2 linked regions of the Drosophila melanogaster genome follow. The protein of the gene in region 2 interacts with the protein of the main gene of each other region in a pairwise test. Each region holds a gene or a part of one and is shown on either strand. Other genes may lie near its edges.

Region 1 (5,975 bases), on a different chromosome or scaffold from region 2:
CAAAAATTCTACCTCATGCCGTCTCTTGGGATACAATTATTTGTGGTAATAAAAGATTCATCAAAATTTAAATAGTACAGAAAATATTACATTTTTAAGGCTGTATATTTCCTGGCTACTGACAGCACTGACTGCAGCTCTCTATCCGTCTTGACCGATGTGAGTGTGTGGGTAAGTGTATACACACACTATACATACTAGACTGGAAAGTAGTTTTCAATTAGCTCAGTCCTGATAGCAAAACCCCATTGAGCAGTTCTGAGTGCTTTGTTTTCCAAGTTACTTACTCATGGGTCTACTGAATTTCGAAATTGGCTTGGTCGACCCATAAGGTGACCAATTCTAAGAAGAAATTAAAAATTATATTTGTCAACATTATTATTTCAGCTGCATTAGCTTAAATGCATTACATTGCTCGTTTACGCTATTTTTAAATTTTTATAAGCCTGAAGTCCTTTAATATTCCATATTAACAGCTTCTACTGAATAATACAAATTATTTAATTTGTAGTTTAAATATTTACAATATTTATTAAGGGTATTCACCATTCGCTCTCTTACCACTTCACGTCTCTACAGCTTGAAGCGGCTGACCAACTTTGGTTTCTGTTGGACAAAACAACAGCAAAAACAGAATCATCTGCCAATCGAAACGGTTGAGTAGGCAATAGGTGAAGACAGAAAAAGAGGAGACTACGGACTGCGGACTGCGGCACATTTGTTTTCATCGGCAATTGGCAAGTGAAAGCTTTTAGCGCGAATTGTGCACGGCAATCACTTCAAATGGAGAAGAAGCCCGGATCTTTTCCCTCCTCTGAAATGCCCATCTGTAGGACTTGGCAGTGGCTGCTGCTTAAGCCGACTTTTAAATTTGGTACCTTGGCTTTCAATAAATTCTAATAACAGGTGGACAATAAATAAAGTTATTTAAAATAATAAATATTAGGCTTTCACAGCAGTTAACAGAGTTGTTTGTTAAACGAAAATACCCTTTACAGGGCTCTATAGAGCATTACCAGTGCGTCATTGAAACCATTTCGCCTGCGAATCCTTTGGCCACCTGTTTTGGCTGGTCGAATAATTTCCCGCAAAATGCTAAGCAGATTACTTTTAATGCCTCGAGCGTAACGACTGCGGCAGTTAAATTTTGTATTCGCCGTCGGATCCTTGTGTAATGCAGTAGTAAATTTTTTAATGCTCTTTATGCCCTGATTCCGCGCTTTAAATCAAACTCCGGTTTACCCAATCAAGCCATTCATGCTCCTCCCATTTTCGAGTGTGCGGTGATTATTTGAGCATTGACTCCAATCGACTGCAGGTCACTGGGGGGGTCCTGAGTCCTGGCAGTGTACTGATTAATAAAGCCTCGGCCCCATCGGCGAATTTGTTTTATTCATAAATTTATAACCATCGGCCGTAACGAATGGCAGCCGTTTGGCGAATGTTTTATTGCGTACATAAATTGCAATTAGTCCCAGCTCCCGTTGGGATAAATGTGAGCACACGCATGTCGTCGCCAGGGAGTCACTGCCTCTCGAATGACGAACTGGCCGACGCTCCTGGCTAACATCGACCCCCTAGCCACGTCGGTGGGTTAACCCAAACATCAATTGACTTATTAATGTTTGTCCTGCCTGCCGGGAAAACAGTGGTGCAGGAGCAGAAAAAAAAAACTGCCTTCAAGACATGGTCGCCTCAATTGGATTCATGTGGCGCCCATTGGGACATTTCGGTAGTCTGGCTTTTGCCGCAGTCACGTCTGCATTTAATGTGAAATTATGACTTTAATGGCCATTCAAATATACTAGAAAAAAAGTGGGTGTACACTCCCAATTTTAAGGGAACTCTTTAATTGCTTTAAAAAGGCCAATGATCTTTGGTGAAAGGGACAAGGAATTAATAAAAAAAAAACACACCCTTCCTAAGGTCAGCATACAACTGACACTTGCAGCTGTTAAAATCTCTTAAAAATACCACAAAAAACAAAGTCCTGCAAGTGGTGAGTCCCACTTTGATTGATTGACTTTGGTGTGCTTTTGTGCATGTGTGTTTAGCTGAGTTCACAAAAAATAAAAAGCAGGATACTTTTTACTCCACGGACATCCACTATTTGTGTGTGCTTGTGCTGGGCCTTCCTTTCGCGCTGTAGGCAAACGCAATGTAAAAACATTTAAGGTTTCAATTAAGTGAAGTCCCGAATGGGGAAAAAAATAAATGGGCAAAAAAGGCAAGGGATCCGAATGACTAAAGATGGCCCGGAATGAGGCTGAAATTTTTCAAGCAATCAATTTGGCTTTCCAGACTTAAAAGAGGGTAAGTCCAATATATATATATTTGTGTTTGTCTTATACTTGTATAAACTTTTGCAGCAAATGCTGGACCAAGACCAAGTGCTTTTGGCTTTAAGCTGAACCTTTTTTGACAAACGATTGCTGCACAAGCCCAAAAAAAAAAAAGGTGGACGTCTAACCCTTCTATCAAATGTCAAAGTTTAGACTGTAACAGTCACTTGAGTTATATTGAGATTTATTATGGCTCGTCCTGCGGAGAGAAATGTGCCAGTTCCAATCATTAATTATGATCGACCGGTAGTCAGCCCGTTTTTATTTGTTTTCAACAAATATTATACTGGCCATGCTGGGCTGCAATTTATGCGCCAGCCTGCATTTTATTTTCACTTGCAGTTTTTCATGAACTGCCCCAAAAGTCGAAGCCCACTGGCAAAAAGTGACTCTTGGCCATTGGCCAAATGGCAGAGTTGCTCTTGTGGGTGTTCCCACTTCCAATGCTGGCTTGCACTGGCTCAAGAAATCAACAACTTACACTTTCTTTGGGCGGACCAGCTTCCGAGCCAGTTGTTTTGACACTTTTAGGCCAAACTAAAAGTTTCTTCTGCCCGAAAGCAGACTTTTCAGGTGCATAGCATTCCCCAAACGGAAATCTCTCTAGAGGGGATACAATGTATTTGCCCCCCTTAAAAAATATGCCAACTATTTTACCTTATTAATATATTTTTTAGTAGTATTTGTTTTATATAATTAAATCCTGTCCCCATTTCCCCGCCTTTTTTTGCCGTTTGTGGGCAGCGATTAAAGGTCACACAACTTTTGGCAACCAGCTGTCTTCCTGCCCTTTTTAAGGACCCTTTTCGCAGGACAAACTGTTCGTTTTTTGGTTTTTTATCTGGCCGTCGATGTTTTGGCTTAACCCAGTTGCAGGCACTTTTGCAAGTTCCCATTTCGCCGGCAATTTTATAATCAGAATTCTCAAAATAAGGAAAACTTTGCTATGTAAATTAAATGCTGAAACCAGCAACTTTTTTCTGACATTTCTCGCAGCTCGTTCTTCTTGTATGGGTAGTACAGTAAAAAAAAAAGAAAAACCAAATAAATACAAGAGCTGCAAAACAAAAAAGTCCTCTATATATACGTAATACGTACACTTTTTTTTATTGTCGCCGGGACAAAGGCAGCGGCAAATAAATGTGGTTTAAACATGACAAGTAGCCGTGGGCTGCCAGCTCGTTATCACCAAATATTTTTGCACACGATATGAGTGAATAAATAAGCCAGGCAGAAAAAAAGTAAGCGGCCAGGACACGGCAAATAGCTCCTGCGAAAGTCGGAGGTGGATCAGAAGCTATATAGCCGCATAGCCGCAACCAAGGCGACTTGGGTCAACGTTTATGGTCGTCACTTTTTGGCCGCTTGTTTGTCAAATAAAACGTGAAATGTCAGACAGTCAGACCGTCGTCTGTGCGCCAACCAAAAAGAGTAACCAATAAAAGCTTAATTAACTGTTTATGGCCATGGCATGCTAACAGGGTCCGCACCGAAAAGACGTGCCGACTTTTCGCCCTATGCCATTAATATGAAATGGACTGGGAACACAGGAGCCACGACCGTAAAAAGCTGGACCTTGTAAGTGGGGAATATGAAAGCCATTCAATCAATTTAGCAAACAGTCCTGGTTACTAATATGAATACTTACTTACTCGGAAATTATAGATGTGGTTTTTCTTACATGGCCTAAATCAAAGAATACATATTTATTTATCCACCATTGTTGATTTAACTGTCATTTTAGACAAATTTAAAGTGGTTCAATAATCGTAAAAATCTTTCATTGTACTTTTATATTTTTGTACAGCTTTGCGTCAAACAAAATTCTTGTGCTTCGATTATATTTGAGAACCAAATATATTGCAACTATGTCAGAGGAAGTCAGCATCCGGTACCAAATCAAAATCCCAGCAGCAACGTCGAACGAAATTCAGAGTTCGGTCGAAAATGATCCGAAAATCGAGTCAGAAAAGTTGATGGTTTGTGATGAAATAGACAGGACGTTGAATACTGAAGAGGTATCCGAGAACAATTTCGAGGATCCAGAAGAGGCGGGGAAGACTTTGGAAGCTCTAGAGGTAGCGGAAGATAACGAAGGCTACACAACACCGAAAGAGTTCAATGAATCTGATGAGGAGATCGAAGAGGTGAAGGAGCTGAGTTCTGGTACATCCTTTACATCCTGTAACTCGTACGGATATATGCGACAGTCGATCCTTTGCCACGCATCCACCTTGAGTTTGGATAGTGGCATTGTTATTGTGTCCCCAATCGATATTTTTCTCAATCGGGATCTGGATAAAGATCAGGATCAGTTACAAGAATATTCCATATATCAAAGTATTGAGAATAATACAATATCCGTAGATATCGTTATGGAGAAAATACCACTGACTGTCACTTCCGAAGACAGCGACTGTGATTACGAACTTAGTCTGGATGAAGTTCACCAACGCTTCTCGGCTTGGTTTAATCAAAAAGAAATAGATACGGCTTATTCCTGTTTCACGCAGATGGATGAAGACCTGGACGGGTACATAAGTCTGGGCGAACTGAAGAGATTCCTGGAAAAACTGGAGATGCCACAAACCCATTTGGCAACCAAAAACGTAATGACTCATGTGGTGGGAAATCACTTGGAACGTTTAACCTTCTGCCACGCGCTCCTTATTTACGGAACTGTTTTGAACCGCTTGGAATTACGAAAGGGACATCTTTTAGATCGGGAACGGCTACGCTTGGCCCGGAGTAAAGCGGTAGACGTGTCCAAAGTGGGTGTCAGTGGTGCAAAACAATTTTTCGAGGCCAAGATAGCGATGCAATCGGATCCCTTGCCACCTATTAATTCGGATCAACCAGTGGCTCGAATTGCAGTGCATTCATTGAATACGGAGAACCCTGGTAGAAGAGTCAATTTTAAATCTGCTGCCGCTCTTTTTAAAAAGCTTGAAAATGATCAATAGTCAACTCGCGTGCAAGCCTCCAATACAGACCATACAATTCGGATTCAATAGTGTTGCGCGAAATTTTCAGTTAAATTACTAAAAAAATTTTGAGTTGTATTATGGACTGACCTTGTATCTACTCAATAACTTTATATAAATCATTTGCCAATAAAAAACAATCCAGGAACGAAAACGCTGCTTAAGTGACCAATCAAAGGTAATCGCCGGGCTGCAGAAAACATACCTCCACTTTCTGATACTCCCACTTCTCGTGGGACGGGCTACTTTCCAATTTATTTTCCTTTTATTATGTCCAATAGTGATACCAATTCGACTTTTTTTTTTTGCTTAACCATCTTCTTTGCTAATTTTTGTTGCAAGACCAAAAGATATTAAAATCATGATGGTTATCTACTTGGTTTGCCCTCGCCAACTGAAATAAATTGTCAACTTATGTGGAGCAATGGTTTTTATCAGTTTAGTTTCCGTGAATCCCCTCGCTGTGAGGCAATTCTTCATTTCCTGGGCATCCCGGGAAAGCGGCACCACTGGCAGTTGGAATTTGGCTGGGGCAACGACTCCCCGAGGAGCGAAATGTGCGCCACACACGCCAAGTGGCAAGTTGGACGACTTTTCCGGAAGTTACCCGGCGGCCGCCAGTCTTCGGGGCATAAAAATATTTTCGTGC
Region 2 (7,808 bases):
GATAGCCGTGATAGGATCCGAGTGGGATAGATTGTGCAGCTGGCCGCGTTTCAGGTGTCGAGGCTTTTGCCACAACTCCGGCTGCAGCATGACAAACTCTTTTGGCTCCATGCCAACTCCGAGCAACGCATCGCCTACATGCCCATTCGCCAGCAACTGGCCGGCGAAGCGCAGAATCAGTGCTGATATAATCAGTTGCCAATCTTCAATGCTGGCTGGCAATGAGTGGAACTGATCGTAGAAATCGGTGTGCTCTTTCAGGTAAAGTTGAAGGAGATTGGCACAGAGGATGTGGTAATTTAACTCCTCATCGATAGCCTGATCCAGTTGACTGACCATGCGCAGGCTTCGCAAATACTCTGGAGCGTTTTCACTCTCTTCCGGTTTTCGGGACAGATTCATTATTTCTTCCCACATACCCTTTGCACTGGTCATCTCTTGCAAATGAGGCCTTATGTAGGGAATGTAAGTCAAAAGCAATCGCAAGGCCAAATGCGAAATGCCCAAAAGTCGGAGGATATCCTTTCTGTAGGCGGCACACTCGAATTTGTGGATGGCCGAGTGCGCCTCCCGACACTTCCTAGAGCAGTAGACTACCCGCTGATGGCAATTGGGGCAGGGTATGGGTGCGCTCATTAAGGTGGCGGCGCACTGCTGGCAAATAAGCAGTTGCTCCAATGGAACAAAGCAGGAGGCGCGCTCTGAAAAGATTACGTTGCCTTTGCTAATCGCTTCCTTAGCCACCATATATCGACCACGGGGACCAGGATCTGTAAGGCTGAGAAGTAAAGGTTACAAATTAAGAAGTGGCCAGAATCGATTTGGAAACTTACATTTCCCCTAGAGATTTATCCACCACTTTCCCTTGTGTTTCCTGCTCTCTGGGTTGGTTCTTTAGCAGCTCCAGTTTCTGCTTCAGGTCTTCCAGCTGCTGCTCAAAGCTCTCTTTAAGCTGCAGCTGCCCGAGATAATCCAAATGCTCCTCTAGCGAAGCAATCTTCTTCAGCTTCCAGGCGCAGAAGGCCTGCCGCATGATCACCTTGTGCCGCAGCCTTTCCGGGTATCCGCACTCCAGCGCATTGGAGCAGTCGTCATAGGCTTCTCTGTAGTACCCGTACTCCTGCAAAGCTATTCCTCGGTTGGCAAACGCCAGCGACAGCTCTTCCACAGCATTCTCAGCCTCGAAAACGGCTTCCGAGTAAAGCCTGCATGCTTTCAGAACCGAGTCCTTGGAGGATCCCGATGCGGACTCTTTGAACATAAGGTTTCCCTCCTCGCGCAGATTTTTCGAACGTTCTGCGCATCCTTTCCTGTCAACCGGTTGCTCCAAATCCTGCAGCAAGTCGAGCGCCAGCTTCTGGAATATCTGCAGAATGTCCGCTGGCATGGATGCCAATGACTTGAAGGTTTCGAACTCATCCTTGTAGTTCTCATTCAGGGTTATCAGTTCGTTCTGCTGGGAGAAAGTTCTTGCCAAACGTTCCATGTCCACCGGCTGCAAAAATTGTTTACAAAAATCAAATCATGCGGTTGGTGAATTTTAGGTGCTTTTCGAGTAGCCGCTAATTAAAGAATCGATTATTTTTCAAAATTTAAGTTCTATTTCCCTAGTTAGTTCTATTCCTTATGGAATTATTTCACATTCTATTGAAATCAAGGGATATTATAAAGTCGTCGAAAACTTTTAACTTATTAAAATTAAATGTTTTATGATCACGGGTTATATCAAAATCTGGATTATCTTTCGGCCACTCGACACATAACAAACCCAAGCCAAGAAAAAGAATTAACTATTCATAAGTGGAATAATTTCTGATTCTCCTAAAAAGAAAAGTTGTCCAGATTAGCTAATTATCGATTTGCCGGCGACTATCGCACCTCTCCCACCACCAGGCGAAAACGTAAACAAAGTCTGGCAGAGAACGCACACTCATGCAGAATTGCGGGATTCCGTGACAGATTTAATCAAATTTACGGATTTCATCAGTGGAAATAACTTCGTTAGCCCTCTACTACCTTTTTAACAGCCAAAAGTCACTATGAAAGACGCAAAGGTGAGTTTCCCAGCTGATCGGAGTGGCGCCTGCAGTTACATCATGTCGTTTGGACTTCGATTGCTGTGTCTCTGTATTTTCCTGCTGAAAAACGTGAAAACTGATCAAATTGGAAATGAGTTTCAGCCCTTTCCCGTGCTCAAGAATGATAACCTGCTGCGCGCCGCACGTGGCGAGGTGGTGGACCGGGTGCCTGTTTGGGTGATGCGCCAAGCGGGGCGCTACCTGCCGGAGTTCCAGGAGCTGCGAAAGCACCACGACTTCTTCACCGTCTGCCGCACCCCGGAGCTAGCGTGCGAAGTGACCATGCAGCCATTGCGCCGCTTCGACCTGGACGCCTCCATAATATTTTCGGACATCCTTGTCATTCCGCAAGCACTCGGCCTCACCGTGGAGATGCACGCGGGCGTTGGTCCCGTTCTGCCACAGCCCATCGTGGTGCCGGAGGACCTCAAGCGCCTGACGCCGGACGGAGCCTTGTCCCGCCTCAGCTACGTGGGCGACGCAATCACCATGATGCGGCACAAGCTCGAAGGTCGAGTGCCGCTAATCGGCTTTACAGGAGCGCCGTGGACACTAATGGGATATATGATCGAGGGCGGTGGGAGCAAGACCATGTCGAAAGCTAAAGCTTGGCTCAACGAACATCCTGAGGACTCTAAGCTGTTCCTGAACCTGCTGACCGACGCAATTGTGGACTACCTGGAGATGCAGGTGAAAGCTGGCGCTCAAATGCTGCAGGTATTCGAATCGTCCGCCGAGCATCTCTCCAAGGAGCAGTTCCTGCAGTGGTGTGTACCCTACCTGAAGAGAATACGCGACGAGCTGGTGGACCGTCTCACAAAGAAGGCCATCCCCGTGGTTCCCATGGTAAGTTCCCATGGACTAAAACATTGATAAGATGCTTACTAAATGGAATTTCCATGTAGACGCTGTTCGCTAAGGGTGCTGGGCACTCGCTGAAGGAGCAGAGCGAACTGGGCTACGACGTTATTGGCTTGGATTGGACTGTGGATCCGCTGGAGGCACGCAATTTGGTCGGACCGAACATTACGTTGCAAGGCAACTTGGATCCTCAGGACATGTACCGCGATCCTGATGAGCTGCGCAACCTGACCACAGAAATGGTGCACAAGTTCGGCAAGTCGCGCTACATCGCCAATCTGGGACATGGAATCACGCCTCAGACTCCGATCACGAGCATGGAAGTGCTGGTGGAGGCGGTGCACAAGGCTCTGTAAGGTGTGCCTTTCACTAACCTTTAATTTTATGATGCTTTTATCGAATGCAATAAAGACAATTGGCCTTGGGTTTAGGGTAACCTCAGTGGAATGTTATATTTAGCTGGTGCTGGGCCTGTTCCTGCAAAATCTTATCGTATATCATCAGGATACTGCCACAGCAGACGAGCAGGGTGCCCAGAATGACTTCTGCGGGAGCAGTTGGTAAACAAAGTGGACAAGGTTGTTACTTAGACATTTAGCTTACTTCTTCCCGGCAGTTTTTCCCCCAGCGCATATCCGGTGATTGCCGTAAATGCGAAGCTCAGGGAATTGGCCACTGGCACCGCCACTGTAATACTGGCCCTCTGGAGCGTCCAAACGTACAGAGCACTCCCGCACTGGTTGAGACCGAAGGGTATCCAATAGCGCCACCGGGAGCCGATTGTGCGTGCCTCCTGGACAAAGTTACGCCACTTTGAGCCCGTATCACCAACCGACTCGATTCCCTGGCTGCCGAGGCGAATAAACGGATTGGTAACGCCCCACAAGAGGCCCACGGCAAGGAGTTGTGCTGGAAATGAGTTTTGAATGCCAAGCTCGATAATATTTTGGCTCACTTACTTACCAGCGATATCCAGCATTCTATTTTGTTTACATCCGATCAGCTGTTTCGTTGTACTTCATCAACTTGGAAACTACATTTTGGAGCAACAATTTGGGGCATTCCATTAATAGCCACACAACAATGCAATAATAATTTTACTATGAATAATAATAATAATAATAAAAAACTATGAATCGAAATATGTGCAACCATTTTATTAAGATTTTTATTAATTTTCATTCGAAAACATTAAACTTAATCTCCAATACTGGATTTAAATTTAGCACTGTTTAGTAAATTTTAATTAAAATAGTTTTTATAAAGTATTTGGTTTCTTTCTTTTAAAGTACATTTGAAAAACTAATTTGATTTTTTGTTTAGAGTTAAGTTTTTATTTTTTATTATTATTCAAACAAACCATGGATTTAGAAATTCAATTTGTAATTCCCCTAATATTGCGCTTTGCGGAATACCCTAAATTTACTTTTTCAGGCATAACGATATTCACGATGCCGGTCGCACAATGCAGCCACACTGTTTTCTGCTCACCTCTAGCATCTCTTCTTCTATCCTTTTCTTTTCGCTGCGTTTCCGGAAGAGGTTCGTAATTTGCGATTTTGTATATTAATCGGAAAACATCGCATATTTCCACGAAGTAAATGCAACAAAACTGTGTGGACAATGTTCCCAGTCGAAAAACCGATCACGGCGTATGTTCATTTTCGCTGTGCAACAATTTCTTTGCAAATGGAATATTCCACTGAAGTTTTGTTTATGTTGTGTGGCATTAACTAAAATTTGTTGTTACGCACTTGCAGGATATTGAGTAGCACCGTTTCGGGCTAAACAGCACAATGACCAAGACCAAGGGTGAGAAAATCAACAAATCCGCGATCAACGAAGTCGTGACGCGCGAGTGCACCATTCACTTGGCCAAGCGTGTCCACAACATCGGCTTCAAGAAGCGCGCACCCCGCGCCATCAAGGAGATCCGCAAGTTCGCCGAGCGGGAGATGGGCACCACCGATGTGAGGATCGACACCCGTCTGAACAAGCACATCTGGTCCAAGGGTATCAGGTGCGTAGTCCTTAATTTCCTCCGATTTAGCATCCTTTCTAATCCGCCGCTAATCCATCCACCCTTCCAGGTCCACTCCATTCCGCATTCGCGTGCGCCTGGCGCGTCGCCGCAACGACGATGAGGACTCCCCCAACAAGCTGTACACTTACGTGACCTATGTGCCGGTGTCCACGTTCAAGAACTTGCAGACCGAGAATGTCGAGTCCAGCGACGACTAAGCAACGTAATTGACGGCCAAGAAAACACGGTTAATAAAAAGTAATTTTTATTTAGAAAAAACAAACAAAACAAGTGACTTAAAGTGTAGTAAACTGTGGCTGCAGCAAGTAGACCGACTCCTCCGTGGCCATGGACAGCAGTCGCAGCTTATGGCTGGGCAGATAGAGCACCTCCAGGGCATGAGCCTTTGGCAAGGCGCTGTCGCCGAGGATTTGCTGGAATCCCGCTGCTCCGCGGTGCTGGTAGATGCGAAGCGGTTGCTGCGGCAGTACGTTGGACACACAGAGCAGTAGATCGTCGGACTCGGGCAGGTGCATAAAGCGCATTACCCGCGACTGTTGGGAGTCCTCGAGCTCCAGGACTTGGTCCAGTTGGAAGCTGCTCGTGTCTGGGCTGCCGAAGCTGCAAAACGAGTGAAATCCTTGTAAATGCCCTATGCGTGAAGTGCTTATGAATATCTACCTGTAAATCCGAATCTCTGCTGCTGGCGATGAAGCCATCAGCGCCACATATCCGCTCTCTATGCCAGCACCTCCTTGACTAAGAGCCATTTGCTCCACCTGCCCATCTATCAGCCTGCTTGATAGAGAGTAATTGCCATTACTCCACTTCCAAAGCTCCACCGCTCTGGGAGTACGAAGTAGAATGGTCATATCATCTGAATCAGCGACCGGCAACAACTGTTTTACGGCCCGCCTGGGCAAGATTGCTTCCCTGCTGTTGTTCTGCTCATCTAGGCATCGGATTACTATCTGGTTCTCCTCTTGAAGTGCCCGGCACTGAAATCCATATGATCTGAATTGCAGTTTCTGCGGGTTCTGTGCCTCCTCATTGATTGGATTCAAGTTTGTCTTGTTTAGTTGTGTCAGTGCTGTGCCTACAAAAAGGAAAGCAGTGTTTTATAGATGTGTCCGTGGAATACTCTTCCTATAATTCCACTCCAAATATAGGCTATACGGATAGGACTTTATCGATATTAATAGGTGGTTTTTTGCCTATATCTTAATCTATGTTGAAACATTTTCAAGTTTTAAAATATTGCTTAAACCAATTTGAAAATGTGTACGACTCTTTTAGAGGGTATATCAAAACAACAGATAAGAAAGCAAAACAGTGAGGTTAGACTGCTAGCATTTAAAAGCAGAACTCGACCATTTTCCGGCAGAACAGGGACAGATTGTGATACACCAAGACTTCTCGTAGAGACCATTACGATTAACCATGAGAAGGCACTTGCGGGCAAGTCTTTGGATCCTTTGTTTGGCCACCATGGCGTTTTCCATCCTTGCGGCAGTAAATACTTCGCCCAAACCAACGCTGACTTCGGCGTTTAGGTGAGCAGCGCATACAGCGTATTCTTTGTTCGCTAAGATCCGCCCCTTTGCAGTGGAAAAGCTGGCACCACTGCCGTGAAGGCGAATAAGACGACGGGTGAGCTGCTGCCCATGGTCATTAACACTTGGAACTTCACGGCTGCCAATGTGCTCGCCTGGCGAATCCTGAAGCAAAGCAAGGGTGGACTCCGGCAGACGCGGAATGCGGTAGTGGAGGGCTGCTCGAAGTGTGAGAAACTCCAGTGTGACCGAACGGTGGGCTATGGCGGATCGCCGGACGAGTTGGGCGAAACCACACTGGATGCCATGGTCATGGACGGGGCCACCATGGATGTGGGGGCAGTGGCTGGTCTGCGACGCATTAAGGATGCCATTAAGGTAGCCCGGCATGTTCTGGAACACACGCAGCACACCATGCTGGTGGGTGATGCGGCGTCAGCTTTCGCCAATGCTATGGGATTCGAATCAGAGTCGCTGGTCACGCCGGAGTCGAAGGACATGTGGTTACAGTGGACGGCTGAGAACTGCCAGCCAAACTTCTGGAAGAACGTTCACCCGGATCCCAAGGTCTCTTGCGGCCCGTATAAGCCGCGGCCGACTCCGCTGACCCGCTGGAAGGAGGACCGTGCCCGCAATGAGTATGAGATCGGACGCAAGAACCACGATACCATCGGCATGATCGCCATCGACGTGGAAAGCAACATCCACGCCGGCACCTCCACCAACGGGGCGCGGCACAAGATTCCCGGACGGGTCGGCGACTCCCCCATTCCGGGTGCTGGCGCTTATGCAGACAACGAGGTGGGTGCAGCCGTGGCAACCGGAGATGGAGATGTGATGATGCGCTTCCTGCCCTCCCTGCTAGCGGTGGAGACCATGCGGGCGGGAAAACCTCCGGCTGAGGCAGCTCAAGAGGGCCTTCGCCGCATTCTCAAGCACCACAAGGATTTCATGGGTGCTCTCATCGCCGTAGATCGGCTGGGTAATTATGGCGCTGCCTGCTACGGCCTGGCCGAATTCCCCTTTATGGTTAGCAGTCCAGCCGGAGCGGATGGGCCTACGCGCTTGGAAACGGTCAAATGCATAGGTGGTCAGGACAAAGTAAATATCGTGGCGTTGTGAGGTGGCGAAAACTGTAACGTATTTCAATAAAATTTAAATTTCGTGGAGTTCTCATCTGCAATATAAATTGCGTTATTTGTTTGTCCCTATCGGCAGCAAGATAGACGGGTAGTTTTACCGTAAATTAGCGGTATTAAGAATTATCGATATGTAAGGATCCTTACATAAAAT

Evidence for each region. The genes of interacting proteins can lie anywhere in the genome.
Region 1: the proteins of RpL31 (region 2) and CG14861 interact in a two-hybrid assay, tested with the Drosophila melanogaster proteins (one large-scale study listed by BioGRID).

The regions. Positions count from the first base shown.
Region 1 is NT_033777.3:15,010,560-15,016,534, forward strand, and holds CG14861 (uncharacterized protein), read left to right. Parts: upstream 1-4,210; coding exon 4,211-5,305; 3' UTR 5,306-5,475; downstream 5,476-5,975.
Region 2 is NT_033778.4:9,582,748-9,590,555, forward strand, and holds RpL31 (ribosomal protein L31), read left to right. Parts: upstream 1-4,445; 5' UTR 4,446-4,481; intron 4,482-4,487; exon of another isoform or gene 4,488-4,591; intron 4,592-4,699; 5' UTR 4,700-4,735; coding exon 4,736-4,959; intron 4,960-5,029; coding exon 5,030-5,180; 3' UTR 5,181-5,242; downstream 5,243-7,808. Other genes in the region: Smyd4-1 (SET and MYND domain containing, class 4, member 1), read right to left, coding at 1-778, 834-1,486; Urod (uroporphyrinogen decarboxylase), read left to right, coding at 2,040-2,054, 2,181-2,924, 2,984-3,295; CG12929 (uncharacterized protein), read right to left, coding at 3,378-3,484, 3,543-3,848, 3,903-3,918; clos (closca), read right to left, coding at 5,259-5,583, 5,644-6,058; CG1827 (uncharacterized protein), read left to right, coding at 6,403-6,515, 6,569-7,637.